Linked DNA regions of Arabidopsis thaliana. The protein of the gene in region 1 interacts with the protein of each later gene in a pairwise test. Each region holds a gene or a part of one and is shown in the gene's direction. Other genes may lie near its edges.

What was found.
Region 2: the proteins of ARF18 (region 1) and PAP2 interact in binary tests that used the Arabidopsis thaliana proteins (3 or more experiments, as listed by UniProt).
Region 3: the proteins of ARF18 (region 1) and IAA13 interact in binary tests that used the Arabidopsis thaliana proteins (3 or more experiments, as listed by UniProt).
Region 4: the proteins of ARF18 (region 1) and AXR3 interact in binary tests that used the Arabidopsis thaliana proteins (3 or more experiments, as listed by UniProt).

What each region holds. Positions count from the first base shown.
Region 1 is NC_003074.8:22,885,932-22,892,037, forward strand, and holds ARF18 (auxin response factor 18), read left to right. Parts: upstream 1-1,957; 5' UTR 1,958-2,239; coding exon 2,240-2,285; intron 2,286-2,336; exon of another isoform or gene 2,337-2,556; coding exon 2,557-2,672; intron 2,673-2,755; coding exon 2,756-2,854; intron 2,855-2,924; coding exon 2,925-2,981; intron 2,982-3,072; coding exon 3,073-3,225; intron 3,226-3,303; coding exon 3,304-3,388; intron 3,389-3,475; coding exon 3,476-3,566; intron 3,567-3,645; coding exon 3,646-3,810; intron 3,811-3,900; coding exon 3,901-4,014; intron 4,015-4,086; coding exon 4,087-4,159; intron 4,160-4,247; coding exon 4,248-4,727; intron 4,728-4,808; coding exon 4,809-4,996; intron 4,997-5,106; coding exon 5,107-5,248; 3' UTR 5,249-5,524; downstream 5,525-6,106. Other genes in the region: AT3G61826 (uncharacterized protein), read right to left, coding at 700-792; AT3G61829 (uncharacterized protein), read right to left, coding at 1,260-1,391. UniProt on the Arabidopsis thaliana protein: Auxin response factors (ARFs) are transcriptional factors that bind specifically to the DNA sequence 5'-TGTCTC-3' found in the auxin-responsive promoter elements (AuxREs). Could act as transcriptional activator or repressor.
Region 2 is NC_003075.7:14,322,764-14,327,132, reverse strand, and holds PAP2 (phytochrome-associated protein 2), read left to right. Parts: upstream 1-1,771; 5' UTR 1,772-1,919; coding exon 1,920-2,341; intron 2,342-2,445; coding exon 2,446-2,699; intron 2,700-2,779; coding exon 2,780-2,921; intron 2,922-3,065; coding exon 3,066-3,127; intron 3,128-3,430; coding exon 3,431-3,468; 3' UTR 3,469-3,837; downstream 3,838-4,369. Other genes in the region: AT4G29070 (Phospholipase A2 family protein), read right to left, coding at 4,098-4,225. UniProt on the Arabidopsis thaliana protein: Aux/IAA proteins are short-lived transcriptional factors that function as repressors of early auxin response genes at low auxin concentrations.
Region 3 is NC_003071.7:14,113,773-14,117,645, reverse strand, and holds IAA13 (auxin-induced protein 13), read left to right. Parts: upstream 1-1,676; 5' UTR 1,677-1,888; coding exon 1,889-2,109; intron 2,110-2,379; coding exon 2,380-2,790; intron 2,791-2,874; coding exon 2,875-2,936; intron 2,937-3,027; coding exon 3,028-3,077; 3' UTR 3,078-3,365; downstream 3,366-3,873. Other genes in the region: AT2G33300 (Transcription elongation factor (TFIIS) family protein), read right to left, coding at 3,686-3,873. UniProt on the Arabidopsis thaliana protein: Aux/IAA proteins are short-lived transcriptional factors that function as repressors of early auxin response genes at low auxin concentrations.
Region 4 is NC_003070.9:1,134,232-1,139,164, forward strand, and holds AXR3 (AUX/IAA transcriptional regulator family protein), read left to right. Parts: upstream 1-1,846; 5' UTR 1,847-2,150; coding exon 2,151-2,389; intron 2,390-2,702; coding exon 2,703-2,914; intron 2,915-3,228; coding exon 3,229-3,367; intron 3,368-3,508; coding exon 3,509-3,570; intron 3,571-4,071; coding exon 4,072-4,109; 3' UTR 4,110-4,432; downstream 4,433-4,933. UniProt on the Arabidopsis thaliana protein: Aux/IAA proteins are short-lived transcriptional factors that function as repressors of early auxin response genes at low auxin concentrations.

The sequences.
Region 1 (6,106 bases):
TTTGTCCGTACAATAATCATATGCACTATTTTAATTATTTTTTTGTTGGGTGGGATTCAAAAAAGTTTTTTTTACCCCTCTATCAGCTAGTTAGAGAAGTGAGACTATATATGATTCCAATCAATAATACATCACATCTATATTTCGTCTTGTAACGCGGCCACATAATCTTCATCAACGAAGCTTGAATGTTGTAATAGTGTTTCACTATCAACAACACACATTTGTAGGCCTTATGTAATTAGCGAGAGAACTCTACAGTCTACACTATAACTTTGAGTGGAAATAAATACTCGTATATGGTAACATAAAAATACTATGAACTTATGATTATACAAACTTGTAAGTAAAAAAGAGTGGTAAGGCTATGTAATATCGTCGACGTTTTCTAGGTAAATCTTAAGCTATAAAAAAGATTTTGAAACCCAAATAGTATCGAGTGATAGCATTAGTCTCATCGGGTGGTTACAAGCCAACATTGATTCGTGTTGCAAATTTTATTAAATACAAGGGTGTACACAAATCAAAACGCAATAATATTTTTGGATCATAGTCTTTCTTCACTATCATTGGGAAAAATAAAATAAAATAAGAAAAATAGCGATAGAATTTCCTCTGTAAATGAGCAAAATTGGTAGGACAAGTCAGCATTTGACACGTGTCGGTCATGAATACGACTAAACAGCGTGGCAATTTCTCTTACTCTGACGTGTCCATGTGGGGACCACTTTCTCCTCCGACACTTCGGCATGGCTTTCTCAACTTTTTATCACTCTTCTTCACCATTCTCATTTACTAAGCGCGTGTCTCCCACCTCTATCCGATTTAATTTTTTAAATTTGACGTTTCAAAAGTTCCTTCTATAAAAGCAATTAACGATAATTATATGAAATCCGTAAACATGAATTTTTCAAATAATTTCGATTTTTGATTTGCTAAGATTAAAAGCGCGTGAAAGAAAAAAAAGAATACAGCATGAACACCAGCGACTCAGAACTGACTCGGCACGTGGTAACATAAAACTCACACGCTTCCCAAGACGCTCGTCCCATAAAGAGTCATGGCTGTGACCTTGTGCGAGTGTGGGTGTAGCCATAGCCTTTGTGGGTCCTAAATAAAAAAAACGATCAATGGCATAATGTGTAATTAACTCACATTCCACAGTGTTAAATAAAAATTAAATCTGTAACGGAAAAAACAATCTATCTGATGTTACACAAAAAAAAAAAATAACGGAAAAAAGAAAATGTGGCCGGGGTTTAATAGAGAAGCCGACACGTTTGCCTGCCACGATCCAGACACAAGACGATGTGGGTAACGGCACCGTCAAGTGCTAACGGCAACGGGGTCATCAGTAAAAAGGGCAATTTAGGGATATAGAGTAAAGTCATAAGCTTATTTATTACTATCGTCTTGATCGGACGGCTGAGATTTGCCCTCTCCTTTAAATGCACCGTACGTTTTTTTTTTACATAATAAAATGTAATTAGTTCATAAGCAATTCCCAAAACGCCGCGTGACCCTTCGTTTGCCTTTGAATACAATTTGTTTTATTTTAGCGCATTTAATATATTTGAGTTTCCTTTTTAGCGATGACATGATAAAACAAAAAACAACAATTTTAGAAAACATTTAATTAAATGAATAGAAAAATAGGGAGATTCAACTGAAGTTACTGTGGGTGGAAATGACAGGTCTCCAGGATCTGAACTAAGAGAAAGTCTCTCTATATTTTGATATATAGAGAGAGATAAAGAAGGAGAGAGTGTGAATATATGTATGTGCATGATACTGTGAGACTTCTTCAGTAAAGGAAGCAGCTTTGGTTTGCTGCGGATCGGGATAAAAACGGCGAGAAGTTTGTGATTGTTGAAGCAAAACAACACGGAATCTGAAAGGAAAGGAGAAGACAAAAAAAAAAAAAGATTTTAAGAGGAAGAGAGAGAGAGATCGGTTTCGTGGCTGACGGAAAAAAAAAGGGGAGAGATTTAGTTTTATCCAACAGTGCCTGAATTACGTTCTGCAATCAATACGGACATAACCGTCCGTTGTGTCCTGTTTATAAAGTTTTGCTTTTTTTATTTTCTCCATTGATGGGTCTTTTCTTTCTTCTCTCTCTCGTGTTTCTTTCATGGGGTTAAGACTAGTGTTTACCGCGTGAAGGTTTTTTTTTCTTTCTATTTTCTTTCATTTCCTCTCCTTCTACTTCTTCTTCTCCAGTTCTCATCTGGGTTCTTCAATGGCGAGTGTTGAAGGTGATGATGATTTCGGAAGTTCTTCGTCAAGTGAGTAGTAAAAGGCTGAGACTTTAGAAAGTTTTGTTTTTTTTTTTGTTTCTAACAGTGACTCTGTTTGGGGTTTTACTCTGTAGAATCAAAATCAGCTTTGTAAAGTTTCGATTTTTTTTTCTTTCATTTTCTCGGGAGACGAGCTTAGAAAGAAATAGAAAAAACCCCAACTTTCTTATTTTTCTCGTATAGCTTCAAAGTTCACATTTTTGTTATAGTTTTGCCGCGGAAATGTGACTGTTAGGGTTTTGTTGTTGTTTGATTTTAGGGTCTTATCAAGATCAACTATACACAGAGCTATGGAAAGTTTGTGCAGGTCCATTAGTGGAAGTTCCTCGTGCTCAAGAGAGAGTTTTCTACTTCCCTCAGGGTCACATGGAACAAGTATATACCCACCCAAAAATCATCTCTTTTTACCCCAATTTTTCTTTTTCCATTCTCTTTCTAAATTCTGGGTTTTTTTGCAGCTTGTGGCGTCAACTAATCAAGGAATCAATTCAGAAGAAATACCTGTTTTTGATCTTCCTCCAAAGATACTTTGTCGAGTTCTTGATGTCACTTTAAAGGTAAAGTTGGATCATAAATGTTAAAATGTTTTATTTCCCCTGAATCTGTTAACTAAATTTTGATTTATAGGCGGAGCATGAAACAGATGAGGTTTACGCTCAGATCACATTACAACCAGAGGAAGATGTAAGTTCTTAAAAAAAAAACTCAACTTTATTTCAGTGAGTGTTAATTTATATTGATTGGAATTGATTTCAATTTACTGTTTTGTTTGCAGCAAAGTGAACCAACAAGTCTTGATCCACCTATTGTTGGACCAACTAAGCAAGAGTTTCATTCGTTTGTTAAGATTTTAACGGCTTCAGATACAAGCACTCATGGTGGATTCTCTGTTCTTCGTAAACACGCCACTGAATGCTTGCCTTCTTTGGTAAATATATTCTTAAAGAAACCTTCTCAATTCAAGAAACTTTAGCTTGAATTCTCACTCCAATTTTACACTTTTTAGGATATGACACAAGCTACTCCTACTCAAGAACTTGTGACTAGAGATCTTCATGGCTTTGAATGGAGGTTTAAGCATATATTCAGAGGTATTGATTCTAATCTTGGTGTGTTTTTGTGAAACTGTGTTTGGACTAAATGAGACATTGACTCATTGAGTGCCGTTTTTGGTTTAGGACAACCACGGAGGCATTTGCTTACTACGGGTTGGAGTACATTTGTATCCTCGAAAAGACTTGTAGCTGGAGATGCTTTTGTGTTCTTGAGGTACTTTTGAAATTGAAACTTTATTCACTGGTCTTGTTTAGTTTCATGAACCTAAATGTAATGCCTTTGTGTTTTTCAGGGGTGAGAATGGGGATTTACGGGTTGGAGTGAGACGATTAGCTCGGCATCAAAGCACAATGCCTACTTCGGTTATTTCAAGTCAGAGCATGCATTTGGGAGTTCTTGCTACAGCTTCTCATGCTGTGCGTACAACAACAATCTTTGTTGTCTTTTACAAGCCTAGGTATATAGTAATGTTCTTTAGATGATTTTGCTTTATATACATAGATGGTTTAGGACTCTTTGATTGAAGAAAAGTTTTCTCTCTTTGCAGGATAAGCCAATTCATAGTTGGGGTGAACAAGTATATGGAAGCTATAAAGCATGGATTTTCTCTCGGTACCCGATTCAGAATGAGGTTTGAAGGAGAAGAGTCTCCTGAGAGAATGTAAGAATCCATTTTCTCTGATCATTTCTTTTTTGTCAGTGTTCTTGATTCTGAAACCTGGAACGTCTTCAGATTTACTGGTACGATTGTGGGAAGTGGAGATCTATCTTCACAATGGCCAGCTTCTAAATGGAGGTCATTGCAGGTTCAGTTAACCATTCCACGTTCTTACATTTTAGTGTTTTACTTATTACGTGGTCTTTATATAACGTTTTTGTCTTGGTCTTTCTTAGGTACAATGGGATGAGCCAACAACAGTTCAGAGACCAGATAAAGTCTCACCATGGGAGATAGAGCCTTTCTTGGCAACTTCCCCAATTTCAACTCCTGCTCAACAACCACAATCGAAATGCAAGCGGTCAAGACCCATCGAGCCATCAGTTAAAACACCAGCCCCACCTAGTTTCTTGTACAGCCTCCCTCAGAGCCAAGATTCCATTAATGCATCCCTTAAACTGTTTCAAGATCCATCACTTGAGAGAATTTCAGGTGGATACTCCTCAAACAACAGCTTCAAACCCGAGACTCCTCCTCCTCCAACGAATTGTAGCTATAGGTTGTTTGGATTTGATCTCACAAGCAATTCTCCTGCTCCAATCCCTCAAGACAAGCAACCGATGGATACTTGTGGAGCTGCCAAGTGTCAAGAACCCATCACTCCAACCTCAATGAGTGAGCAGAAGAAGCAACAAACATCAAGAAGTCGAACTAAAGTAATTTTCTTTATCAACTCATATAATAACATAGCAACAATGTTTTGAAAATCTGATTTCTTTGATCTTGGATTGAAAAAGGTGCAAATGCAAGGCATTGCGGTTGGTCGTGCGGTTGATTTAACACTGTTGAAATCTTACGATGAACTGATTGATGAGCTTGAGGAGATGTTTGAGATTCAAGGACAGCTTCTTGCCCGAGACAAATGGATCGTTGTCTTCACTGATGATGAAGGAGATATGATGCTTGCTGGTGATGATCCGTGGAAGTAAGTTCTAAAATAACAGAGTTAAACATTTCCGGTTTAGCTCAAATCAGTTAAATGTGAACTTAAACCGGAACTGATTTTGCAATGTTCTGTTGTGTGGGATTGTGCAGTGAGTTTTGCAAGATGGCAAAGAAGATATTTATATATTCGAGCGATGAGGTTAAGAAAATGACAACGAAACTGAAGATTTCTTCGTCGTTAGAGAATGAGGAATATGGTAATGAATCATTCGAAAATCGTAGTAGGGGGTGAGAGTTTTAGCTGTTAATTAAGGTTAATTCGGCGACGTCGTTTTAGTGCGTAAGTGTCTAAAGACTTTTTTTTTAGTCTGTGTATATAAAGTCTTGTCCTCTTTTTCATGTCAATTTTTCAAGTTGGCGATTTAATATTTCGGTTTTGGGACAGTGGTTGATGGGGCGGTTTTACATCTTTTATGTGTATGTACTTGTTCCATAACCATTCAATTTTCAAAACCAAGTACATTCAATTAGTTATGGGTTCAAAGATTATATTTCTAATCAATAATTAAGGCTTAAAAAAAAAAAAACTACAGTATTAGAGAAGAATACAAAATACGTGAAGGCGTGGAAATCAACGCGGCGGGCATCATATGAAAGTCATGGAAAAGTAAAGGAGTCAAACGACTAGTTAAGATTCTCTTTTGGAGTTGGTAAAAATATTTGTGGATTAATGAACTTCTAGGATATAGTGTTATTAGAAAATTGAACTGAAATCGAAAAAAATGAAAACTAAACTTTGGAAGTTCATGTTATCGTGCCAAAAATAAGTCTCCATGATGTTCTCTATAAAAATTCTTAAGTTTTAATTTCCAAACCTTTTAGCTGCATCAGATTTTTCTTTAATAAAATGCAAATGACAAAAGAAAGAAAATCTATTTTGTTTTCGGATAAAGTCACATATGAAGTGTATACTGTAGTTGATATTTGTCAAAAAAAAAAATATTGTTTTAAACTTTTAATTCAGATTTGCCTTATAATGAAGAAGAAAACAATACAATTATTTTCAAACTTAGTATTGGTTTGGTGGTGGTTATGTACTTATGTAGTATGGAGCAACTGTTTTTTTTTTGCTAAAGATTAATTGTTTTTG
Region 2 (4,369 bases), on another chromosome or scaffold:
TAATTAAAACCGCCACATGTGATGCAACATCCATATAGATAAGTAAATACTTTGGGTAACTCCAACTAATCTTTAGATTTTATAGCCTTCATATGATTTCTATAGTGATAGACACATTTTTACTAAAGATTCGTATCCTTAGATAGCTTTGTAAGTAACTAATGGCACGATTAGATGGTGAGTTAAGGTGGAATATAAGTTGAGATGTCCCAAAAACGACAAAAACCTTGCCCAAAAAAAGAGAGAGACAAAGGAAAAGTTAAAGAAAGGCACCTTATGATTAAGACACTCGAACTTACACTAAAACACAAATCTAAAAAGCTTTAGATAAGATCCAAAGATGGATCCACCTTAGAGGCAGGCTTTAACCAAATTACTATGCATATGATATTTTATAATACTGCAACTTACAGGTCTTTTTTGTATGTCTTCTTGCTATGTATATACTTATCGTTGTTACAAATGAATGACTTAATCAATACAGCCAAACAATATATAAATCACTGGTAGAATATAAATGACAATATTTCATATACTTCTTCTCATGTTATATTGTTATAGCATCAGATATATTGGTTTAATAAATATGGGTTAAAATATGAGTTGAAACGTTTAAATGTAGATTGAGTCATCCACTTAAAAAATATACTTGGAGATAGATTAGATGGGCATAAATACTATCAAAGTTAAATCTGATTTGATCATTTAAACTTTTATTAATTTAAGACTATGATCCAAGTATCAAAGTTTTACTAATAGGTCAAATTGTAATGTACTGTAGCATATATGCTCGATTTTGGGAAAACATTGTCTGATAAAAATGAAAAGTGGAGTGTGGAGACCACAATTCTTTTTGGGAACACTGCTCAATATTGCTACTGCGGCTAAGTGGCAAAGAGCTACCCCTACTGTTTCTTTCCTCTTTTCATGCTTCTGGTGGACCCAAAAAATGAGAGCCTATGGGCCCAAAACTTTTTCGAGATTCTCTTCTCTGTTCTCACCCCCAAGCCTAAATATCATCTTCCATCGCAATTATTGGCGACTTACTAATAATCTCCATTCGTTAGCTAAACTACTAGTGAATTTATACAAGTTTGTGAAGTTTAAACTCCAATACGTTTGATTTATTATAGAATATGTTATGCTATCATGCACATGATTAAATGGTTCACCGTTATTAGATTATCATTATCATCACTCAATTTCATGAGTAAAGATTGGTTTCACGAGCTAACTTATGAGTTATATCAAATCGTCTAGTGAATCTAAAACATATAATGTTAAGCCAAACTAAACAGAATTAGTGACTCATTACAACATCTCTATACATATATCAAAAAGGAATTGCATACAAAAGCGTATTTTAGATACTAAATCGTTTTGCATGATAGCATAACATGCACACCTTCATGAGATAGCAAATTGTTTTTTTCAAATACAAAAGTAAAAAGTAAAACAAAACGTGGAATACGAGAGTCGAGACAAGGGCATAATAGGAAAGGTTTCAGGACGCTTTCTGTGACCTGTCGGGGAGTAGATGTCTACACAAAACGTAACGTGTATATACAATACATTCATGTGTACCATTTTCTTAAATCAACATTTTGTGTTTAAACCCGCCAAAAGAGGAAAGTACTTACTTCTAATTACGGTTTATATGAATATAAAATTACGTATACTACTTCCGTCCACTTTTGGAAAATAATACGATTCCAAGAAAAAAGAAGATTAAAGGTAAAAAAATAAAAAAAAATAAAGCTCTCTCACACACCTTTTTATCATTTCTCATTTTCACTCACAATTTGATCTCATCTTTAAATTTTTTTGTTTCCCATTTCTCTCAGAAAGTGTTCTGTTCTTTTTTTCTTTTGTAATCACTAAATGCTTCAAAAGTTTGTCCACAATTATATTTGAAAAAAATGTCTGTATCTGTAGCAGCAGAGCATGATTACATAGGTTTGTCAGAGTTTCCAACCATGGAAGCAACAACAATGTCTGACAAAACCAAAACCAGAGACAATAACAACGGTCTCAATTTCAAGGCTACCGAGTTAAGACTCGGTTTACCCGGTTCTGAGTCGCCGGAGCGAGTCGACTCAAGATTCTTGGCTCTCAACAAGAGTAGCTGTCCCGTGTCAGGTGCCAAAAGGGTGTTCTCCGACGCTATTAACGACTCTAACAAATGGGTCTTCTCTCCTGGATCCACTACTGCTACTGGTGATGTCGGCTCGGGTTCTGGTCCCCGTACCTCCGTCGTTAAAGATGGAAAGTCGACAACTTTCACTAAACCGGCTGTTCCGGTTAAGGAGAAGAAGAGCTCTGCTACAGCTCCAGCTTCAAAGTAAGCTTTTTTTGCTCTGTTTTAGATTTTTCTCAGCTTTTTTGCTCTGTTTTATGATTTCTGTGAAGAGGGATTCTTGATGTTTTTTTTTTTTGATTGAGCAGAGCACAAGTGGTGGGATGGCCACCAATAAGATCATTCAGGAAGAACTCAATGGCTTCTTCTCAATCTCAGAAACCTGGTAATAACTCAGAGACTGAAGAAGCAGAAGCTAAGTCTGGACCAGAACAACCTTGCTTGTATGTCAAAGTGAGTATGGAAGGTGCTCCTTACTTGAGGAAAATCGATCTCAAGACTTACAAAAGCTACCTTGAGCTCTCTTCTGCTCTTGAGAAGATGTTCAGTTGCTTCACCATTGGTAACGTTTTCTAGTCTCTCCTTCTTTGAGATCAATACCAGTGATTGAGTTAACTGTTTTCTTTTGGTTCCTTTTTTCAGGTCAGTTTGGTTCTCATGGAGGGTGTGGCAGAGATGGGTTAAACGAGAGTCGCTTGACTGATCTCTTGCGTGGTTCTGAGTATGTTGTAACCTATGAAGATAAAGACAGTGACTGGATGCTGGTCGGAGATGTCCCTTGGGAGTAAGTCTTTGATTTTTAAAAGATCAATCTCAACAATGTAAATTAACATCAAGTATTAGATCATATCTAATGATCTTAGCACAGTTTTAGCTTAACAGAAGAATATAGATCAGTGAAGCTCTCTTACTGTTTTTTCCTCTGCAGAATGTTTATATGCTCCTGCAAGAAGCTGAGAATCATGAAGAGCTCTGAGGCTATCGGCTTAGGTTAGTATTTCTTTACTAAACCCTAGTTTAATGTTCCACACCCATGTGCTCGATTTTAAGATGTATTAGAAAGGTGGTCCATTTTGAACTAAGACACCCTTCTAATACTTTCATGGTTCTTAAGCTTCTCGCTGGATTCTATAAACATTCTGAAGCTAAAGAAATATATTACTGGAGAAACTAAAACGATGCAATTTAGTCCTTTCCAAGCCTCTTAAACACTAGGAACTTACTGCACACTACTGTACAAATGAAGAATACACAATGATTCATACACAAATCTTGCTTTTTCTTTTTTTGCAGCTCCAAGGGTGATGGAGAAGTGCAGAAGCAGGAACTAGGAAAAGCCCTTTTATGTGATAATATATGATTTGAAAAAATATGTTTTTAAGAAATTGAATAGCCATTTTGTTTTGAAGTATTCTTGTGTGTTTGTGTGCTAGGAGTGATGTTTGATCTTTCTTAAACCAGCCTCTACTAAGCTCTAATAAGGCCTCTTCCTCTTACTTCTTTCTCTAATCAATCTAATGAAACATATGGGTTTGTGTATGTGTGTTTGCCAAGGAAGACTTCATAATTCATATGTATAAAAGTTTTGGTAGTGTGTAAACCGGATGTGGTTTTCATTGTTATATATGTTTTGGATGCAAACTTTACTATAGAAAATAGTTTTTCTAGTTCATGAGTTTCCATGAAATGAAGTTATAATGATCCTTTGATAGAGCTTATATCATTCAAACAAAAGACTTCAAAAACAAGGGTTTATTACTAGACATGTACAACGGGTTTACAAGACGCACAACACTTACTAGCGTTTTCACATCTTCATACTAAACATATATATCTATACTACTAAAGAACCTAATCCTCAGATTCCTTTCTTTATGACTTCTATGTACAAAACGAAAGTGAAGACACCCACAAAGGCTTACCGGGATGACAGAGTACCTCCGATATACTTCCTTATGTCTCAGTTTTTCTGAAAACTCCAGCTTCTCTTGCTGAGGTTGCTCACTATCCAGCCAAAGTCGAGTAGATTTTGCCCGTATTGTATCTTCACAAGGTAACTTCTGTAGGGTATTAGTATGCTCTTGAGACCTGAAAGCATTCGAGATAGATGGTTTCAAGATACATCAGTACATCACCAAATGGAAACGGCCATTATCAAATATTACTACCTGAATAATAAGGTAAATTATGAAATAATCCCACATTGATATAAAAGCATAAGGAGATTGTAGT
Region 3 (3,873 bases), on another chromosome or scaffold:
AAGCTTTACAAAAGAAAAGAATGTATAACTTTTCCTTTACACGAATAGTAAATGAGAAAAACTCACATCTACAATTTTCGTTATCGTGTTAAATAGTATACAAATTTAAACCACTTTTTGAGCATTTAGACCTAAGTTTTATTTTCCGGAGATAAGCTGTTATTTTGCTCTGTTTACGTTTTCTTTTGCATCACTACTCTTATGCATATGTATATAAGTCCTCACTTTACTCATTAATAAATTTCTTATTTAAACTAAAAAATCATATACCGAAGTTACTATAAAACCTACGAATTCTCTCTAATTCATAAACATTTGTAAACAGCATTCATTAATACTATATGATAGATAATAAATAACTGTTCGTATAATCTACTTATTTTTCTTATTTCACCTTTACAGACAACCCCACAGCCCACTTGGGTATCGACTTTATAGTTAAAGCAATGTTCGTGCCTTTTGTCCTATAAAGGAACGACACAGGTAGCGCCTAAGAAAAAAATAAAAACTAACAAGTGAGTAAAAATGCAAAATAAGTAGAAGGGAAAAAGAAAAAACGAGTATAAAAATCACACGCAATTCTAGAACAAACGTAGATAACGTGAAAAACATAGAATCAACTATTTGATATTGACTAACTGTTAGTGTACTTGGAACTGTGAGAATAAGTCGCTTTGAAGTCTGAAGAGGTTCAGGTGTCCTGAGTTTCTAAATAAATAAAGAGAACAAACTTGTACTTGTTTTTTGGTTGTGAAATATTACTGTATCTTAATACTGTGAAATTTCAACATATTTCTTGAAACTAAGTTTGGTATTTCTAGCAAATCCATCAATAGAGTATGAAATTCAATGTTCTCATTTAGTCATGATTTTGATCAAAAGAGAATTTTCCACACATCAATTGCGATTGAAAAAGTTTTCAAAGGATCATCATAGCTCACATCAAGAAACATGATGATGAATAATCTCATCACCACTATTTATTTAATAATTCCTTATAATGAAAACCAATTTTGTTCTCACTTTATTTGGAACCCATCATAGTCTAGTCCTCCACGAAAAAAAGAAAAGAAAATAAATGAGCATATAGTGACCCAAAACTAAACCCAAATTCAACTTTTTTTCAAAACTGGTACTTAGCTATACGTTTTCACATATTTAACAGTTGTTACTATGAACATGATATAAAGCATAGCTAACCAGATAAGATCAAACGCAACGAATACAAAATAAACTCTAATATAGCAATCATCAAAACGAATACAAATTCTTGCAAAAATAGAAAAGAAAGTGTGATGCAAAAACAAAGCTTTCCACAAATACAAACACATAACACAAAAACAACAGTTTATATATTTAATATAGTTTAATAAGATATGTTTGTTTTGTTTATCATATTTTTTTATAAACACAGGAGAAAACAATAAGGTAAACGGGAGCACGACAAGTTTGATAATGTCGGGAAGAAAAGTTAAAAAGAATTTCTTTGTTAATAATAAAATTAGGGAATAAAAAAAGGGTAAAAGAGAAGAAGAAAGAATGGCATTGTTGTTGGTATGGCCACTACCAGACATATGGGTCCTACTCTTCTCATCACTCTCTCCACCACCTAATCCTCTCTCTCTTTCTTCTTCCTCAATTCTTGAAACTCTCTTTCAGATTTCAAGAAACCCTTAAAATCCTCTCTCTGTCTCTTTCTGTTTGTTTGTTTTCTTGTTTCCTTCTCTCTCTCTCTTTCTTTCTTTGTCTTCCTTTCCCAGGTTGTTTTTTTTTGCTCTCTCTGCCTTCTTGACTTTCAAAAGACTCTTTCTTTCTTTTGGATTGATTTTGGATTCTAGGGCTCTCTTTCTTTTAGTGGGTTTTTGTTGTTGTTGTTGTGGTCTCTCTGATGATTACTGAACTTGAGATGGGGAAAGGTGAGAGTGAGCTTGAGCTTGGTCTAGGGCTGAGTCTTGGCGGTGGAACGGCGGCCAAGATTGGTAAATCAGGTGGTGGTGGCGCGTGGGGAGAGCGTGGAAGGCTTTTGACGGCTAAGGATTTTCCTTCTGTTGGTTCTAAACGTGCTGCTGATTCTGCTTCTCATGCTGGTTCATCTCCTCCTCGTTCAAGGTTCGTCTTTTTCAAGCTTTTTGGTTTCAAAGAAAGATCTTTTAAGATGTTTAATTCCTTTTGTATGATGTGAAATTGCTATTCTCTGAACATAGTTCGTTTAGGAGTTTCTTAAAGATTCTTTAGTGTTTGGATGTATACTTGATCTGAGTTATGTCGGAAGAAATGCTCTGGTTTGGAATTAGGAATCTTGAATAGTTGAATCTGTTCTTGGTTTTGATTCATTTGGATAGATTACAAGTCCTGACTTGATGTTTGCTTTGTTTGTAGCAGTCAAGTTGTTGGATGGCCTCCTATAGGGTCACACAGGATGAACAGTTTGGTTAATAACCAAGCTACAAAGTCAGCAAGAGAAGAAGAAGAAGCTGGTAAGAAGAAAGTGAAAGATGATGAACCTAAAGATGTGACAAAGAAAGTGAATGGGAAAGTACAAGTTGGATTTATTAAGGTGAACATGGATGGAGTTGCTATAGGAAGAAAAGTGGATTTGAATGCTCATTCTTCTTACGAGAATTTGGCGCAAACATTGGAAGATATGTTCTTTCGCACTAATCCGGGTACTGTCGGGTTAACCAGTCAGTTCACTAAACCGTTGAGGCTTTTAGATGGATCGTCTGAGTTTGTACTTACTTATGAAGATAAGGAAGGAGATTGGATGCTTGTTGGTGATGTTCCATGGAGGTAATAGATCTAAAAACCTTGTTTATTTATCTCTTACACTTCCAATAAATGTTTCTGATGGTCTTTTTGTTGGAATTATCTTAGAATGTTCATCAACTCGGTGAAAAGGCTACGTGTGATGAAAACCTCTGAAGCTAATGGACTCGGTATGTAGATAATCTCATCTTGATTCCTGTTCTTGTTTCTCAAGATGACGCAATGAAAAATTTCTACTAAAACATGTTAATATATATGCAGCTGCACGAAATCAAGAACCAAACGAGAGACAGCGAAAGCAGCCGGTTTAGATCTCTTTTCGACGTTACGGTGTTACAGGTTTTATATTTTGGGGTTTTGCAAGTCTGAGATACTTCTGAAGCAAGCATAAGCTAGATTGATCTTATATCCAGTTTGTGTATTTTCTTGGTTCTTATAATGGTTTTTACTGGTTTTCTTTAGTTTTTTTTTTTGCTGTCTTTTAATTTTCGGTTGCGATTTCACTATATACTATGGATGGAAGAGAATGCTCTTTATATCTTTTACTACACTGTAAATATTTGAAGCTTATCTAATATCGTTTTTAAGGGTTTTTGTTGATGAGTCTACTCTAATGATCTTAGAACTATGCCAATATATCCACAAATAACTACTCAGATCAAATGGGGTTACGGAAACATAAGGCAAGAAAGCAAATAGATTACAAAACTCATAATGTATTTACAACTCAAAACGTTTCACACAGGTTAAACTTCTTATAATAGTGATTGTGAAAATCCTTAATACATACATATTCCTCTCACTGTTAGCTTTTGAGTAATGTAATTGAAGCAGTGACTACAATACTCTACTTTAAGCAAAAGAATAAGCAAGCAACCAACGTTTTCAAGTCATAAGCTTTTAAATTCCCTAGTGACATTTAGCCTTGAGTTTTACGGGACTCTCTGAGTTGTTGATCTCTGATACTCTGCCTCCAACATTGAAGAAGTTTTGAAACAGAATTGCATATTTTTCGGTTCTTGTGTTTTGTAAGATTCTCTAGCCTAACCATGAGCTTCCTTGTTTCCATAGCTCTTGCGCTGATGGGGAACTCCAAGAGCAAAGCGA
Region 4 (4,933 bases), on another chromosome or scaffold:
GTCTCCATATGTATCCTTGAGAATACTGATGATATATGGATTTGGTTGCATTGGTTCAATCTCATTAAAGTTTCGCATACAATCCATTTATGTGTGCGGGCGCATTTTTTTGTAATCATGTAGGCTGGACCGAGAATTTATATTATTCACTGGTTTACAATTTCATGTGAATTCCATAGTGATCAGTAGATATATATATTGATCAGACAAAGTAGATACACATTGATAAAACACGACAAAATGATGTGATATATAAGACAAAGTGACCCAAAATTCGATTGAAAAATTTGGGGTACGTTGATTTGAAAACTCATGAGAGTTTTTTGGGATAGAAACAAAAGGAGAGAAAAGGGTTAAAGAGGAGGATGTAGACAAGGCAAGGAACAAAAGTAGGGTTTAAGATGTTTTCGCCCCTGAATTTTATTTGATGTAACTTGTCCCTTTATCATCTCCATGTTTTTCTTCTTCTCATTAATTTAAATTTTGGCTTTGGAATTTATGGTGATGTTAATTGTACCCTCTCTTCCTTTGGATTTTGATGCCACTCATGTCCCCTCTCATAGATTTTATTAGGGTAGGAATATGCCTTTTTCCCTCTTTATTTTCATATTTATTGAATTTACGTTGGTTAATTATGGTTAGTACGCTTGGTGTTATTTAAACGTCCCGTATTCACAGTTTACGCCTAACTGATTACTTTGAACTAAAACCAGTGTCTAGTAGATCACTAAAGTCGAATTTTGAACGAAAGTTTGAAAATTCGCAAAAGCGCCGTGAAAATACAATTCCAAAACATATCATTTTTGTTTTTGGAAGCGTGATTGATGAAATAAAAACAAAATATGTTTTGGAAGTGCGACAGAATTTGTTTTTTTGTTTAGAAATGCGATAATATAGACAAATTAATAGAAAATGTAATACAAATTTAGGTGCTTTCATAACTACAAAAAAAAAAAAAAACTACCCTATTGTTGAAAACTTTCATACTACAAGAATAACACAAGCAATATAAAAGAAGAAAAATAATTTTCAATAATCAAAAACAGACATTATATTTTAGTAGTCAATTTAATCTGTAAATATCTGTAAAGAAAATTAATCACCAATTTTATTGTTAACTACAAAGTGGTGTTTATAATATTGCAATTTATAGTTTGTTAACTACAAAGTATAAACATTAAAGAGTAATGATGCGTTTTTATGTGTCTAGATACACATTTCGCTGTACGTGTTTATAGGTGAGTTTTTAATCAATAAATATTGAAGATGTACCGTATGCTTTATTTTGTATTGGCATGAGAATAATTATATACAAGAGGGCTGCGCTTTTATTGTGGGATGAATAATTGAATCATGTGGATGTGATATGCATAATTGGAAGGTTCCGGCGAAGAATCTTACGGGGAAAAATAATCAAAATCATGAATATATATTCATTAGTTAATAATTATATTTAGAAGTCAAAAAGCATAATATAGTTATATTAATAATAATGTACATCTCTATTGTAACACTCTCATATGAGATGTCTGCGACCTCGCCACTCAAAAGAATATATATTTATAAACTATACGTTGATATAGTTTTTAAGACCATATGGTATATACATATATTTAGTTAGATACCCCATATCAATTAATCGGTTCATCACCACTTAATTCACTTGGTTGCTTCGAATGTGTTTCATAATTCACTTGTAATTTTAAAATCTTTCCTTCACTTGTGCTTTCGCTTGTAATCTCAAAATGTTATATATCTCTTTTAACGGGAGAAAAACGATTAAAGACGGATTAAAATATATATCCATTTTGTATAGTCAAATGCAATAATATATACATAATCTACAAGATAAATCATAAGAAAGATTCAATAACAGTAATAGAGTAATAACAGTGATTACTGATTAGTCTAAAAGACTAAAACTCGAGGATGATGACTTAATCAAAGGGCTTAGATTCATCCACGTGTCTAAAACCCGTTTAATCAAAGATCTCTTAAATACGACATACACATGCAGCTACCTCCTAGACAGAGATATAATACAGACTCATCTCACTTTGTATTATTTGAGTGTTTTTATAAAACCATTTTTCCATCTTCCTCATCACCTTCCCAAGAAGAAGAACACCAAAGAAGAAGAAAGGTTAATAATGATGGGCAGTGTCGAGCTGAATCTGAGGGAGACTGAGCTGTGTCTTGGTCTTCCCGGTGGAGATACAGTGGCTCCGGTAACCGGAAACAAGAGAGGGTTCTCAGAGACGGTTGATCTGAAGCTAAATCTGAATAATGAGCCTGCAAACAAGGAAGGATCTACGACTCATGACGTCGTGACTTTTGATTCCAAGGAGAAGAGTGCTTGTCCTAAAGATCCAGCCAAACCTCCGGCCAAGTAATTTTACTATTTTGTCCTTTATGATTTATTTTCCACTCTTCTCTACTGCTCTTAATATTAACATTTTTGTAAAGGTGACTGCAAAAAAAAACAGAAATTTCATTAAAGATATATATTTTTCTTCGCCAAAACCATTTTATCATATGTCTACGGTTTTTTTCTCTTCTTAAATCGTCCAATGTCTTAATATATTTAATTATGTTTAACCCATAGTCTCATGCAAGTAAAATTTATGTGACATCACGTCAAAGCTAACTACAGTCTATATCTTGTATAACATAACCGTTTTTCCGTTTTAAAAAAAATATAGGGCACAAGTTGTGGGATGGCCACCGGTGAGATCATACCGGAAGAACGTGATGGTTTCCTGCCAAAAATCAAGCGGTGGCCCGGAGGCGGCGGCGTTCGTGAAGGTATCAATGGACGGAGCACCGTACTTGAGGAAAATCGATTTGAGGATGTATAAAAGCTACGATGAGCTTTCTAATGCTTTGTCCAACATGTTCAGCTCTTTTACCATGGGTACGTTTTATAAGTATATTCCTTATATATATATGTAGATCCTTCCATGCACATTTAGTTACTAATTAATTGTTACTATAGAAAGAAAAATTAATCATCATGATGATAGATCAGTCCCAAATGAATTACCGTTATCGAGTATACAAATATTTCATAATTGAGTAACCCGTTAGTAGTAGTTTAGAAACTGTGAAAAGAAAACTATGTGATAAAATCCAATTGCGAAAAATGTATATTTCATTTGTTGCACCATAAAAGAAAACCACCAAGTTTAAATTCAGGATATCAAGTTCTTATACCTAAGATTATTTTAGGCAAACATGGAGGAGAAGAAGGAATGATAGACTTCATGAATGAGAGGAAATTGATGGATTTGGTGAATAGCTGGGACTATGTTCCCTCTTATGAAGACAAAGACGGTGATTGGATGCTCGTCGGCGACGTTCCTTGGCCGTACGTCTTCTTCTTCTCCCTTATTAATTACCATTTAATTAGAGCTTTATTGTTTCGGTTAAAATTCGAGCTTTATTTTTGTTTATGTCATTTATTTGTTTCTAATAAATAACCATTTGTTTTAATCTTTTTATTTATTAGAATGTTCGTCGATACATGCAAGCGTTTACGTCTCATGAAAGGATCGGATGCCATTGGTCTCGGTATGTATTTTCTACCAATGCATATTATATTCACATTGATTAAATTTTGATTTCAGTTTGTTACCCATTTAAATTAAAATTTACGTGTATATGTATACAATATAGTTAAAATAGCTTACAAAAGAGATTTGCCCCAAAAAGAAAAAAAAAACTTACAAAAGAGCTTAAAAGTTTACTATAATGTACACCTCAACCGCATAACTTGGTCGCCTAAATAATTTAATATGCTATCGTTTAAGATGATGTCTAATCATCAAACGCTTAAACCGTTCATTATTTTTCGCACAATTATATTTCTACCGTAAAGAACAAATTTGTCGAAAGAAAACTTATCGCTTTGATCTTTTAAATCATTGATATAATACATGATATTTGATTCTCTTTTGTCAAATGCAAAAAAAGAAAGAGATTAAATAACAGAGGGAATAAAAAATATACTCTTTTAACAGAATAAATACCGTGGTCAAATGTCTTTGCTTATTAATTGTAAAAATATTTCAGCTCCGAGGGCGATGGAGAAGTGCAAGAGCAGAGCTTGAAGTCAAATTAAAAGGATAAGTGGTATCGATTATATATTTGATTAACACATTGATTGGTGTTAATTGCTCTTTTTTTTCTTACGATGAAATACATTGTTCAGTTTCTTTTGATTGTCTGTGTTTTGATCTGGATTTGGTATGTAGATATAGTTTGTATGCTATTATGTGTAATGAACTTAAGTTAAATATTTGAGACATTTGTAATGGAAAATGTGTAATAATTTGAACATCCTATTCCTATGTATATGTTTGTCTTTATTTATTTATTTTGCCAAAGATGTGTATATTCGTATAAGGAATATGTGATTTTTATTCCACTATGGAAAATTTAATCTCACATTACTTCTCTTTAATTTCAGTCTCTTAATAGTCAGTTATTTTCTAAAGGCAGAACAGTATTCTTTTGGTTCGTCTTGAAAGTGAAACTAAAGATCATAGCGATCGAGTATTTGACCCTAAAGTAAACTTTCCCCAAGTATAATTTCGAAGTCGGTATAATTAGAATTACAATATTACAATATACATATGTTATATCAGATGAATATAATTACAAAAATGGGGAAAATTCACTTTGTTGGTATATTGATTTGTTGGTACTTAAAGTGATAATTGGCTTTGGTTGGAGGAAATAAAATAGAGAAATAGGACCCATAGGGAAGAGAGGGAGCAATGCCATGTGCATATTCATGGGTCTCTTCATTTCATTACCTTTGTTTATCATTTAATTTCCCATTAAATTAATTAGGAATATTAACTTTTATACCAACTAAATTTATTAACAAGGTTATCATAATTATACACAAATATCCTCTCTATAATGAAAA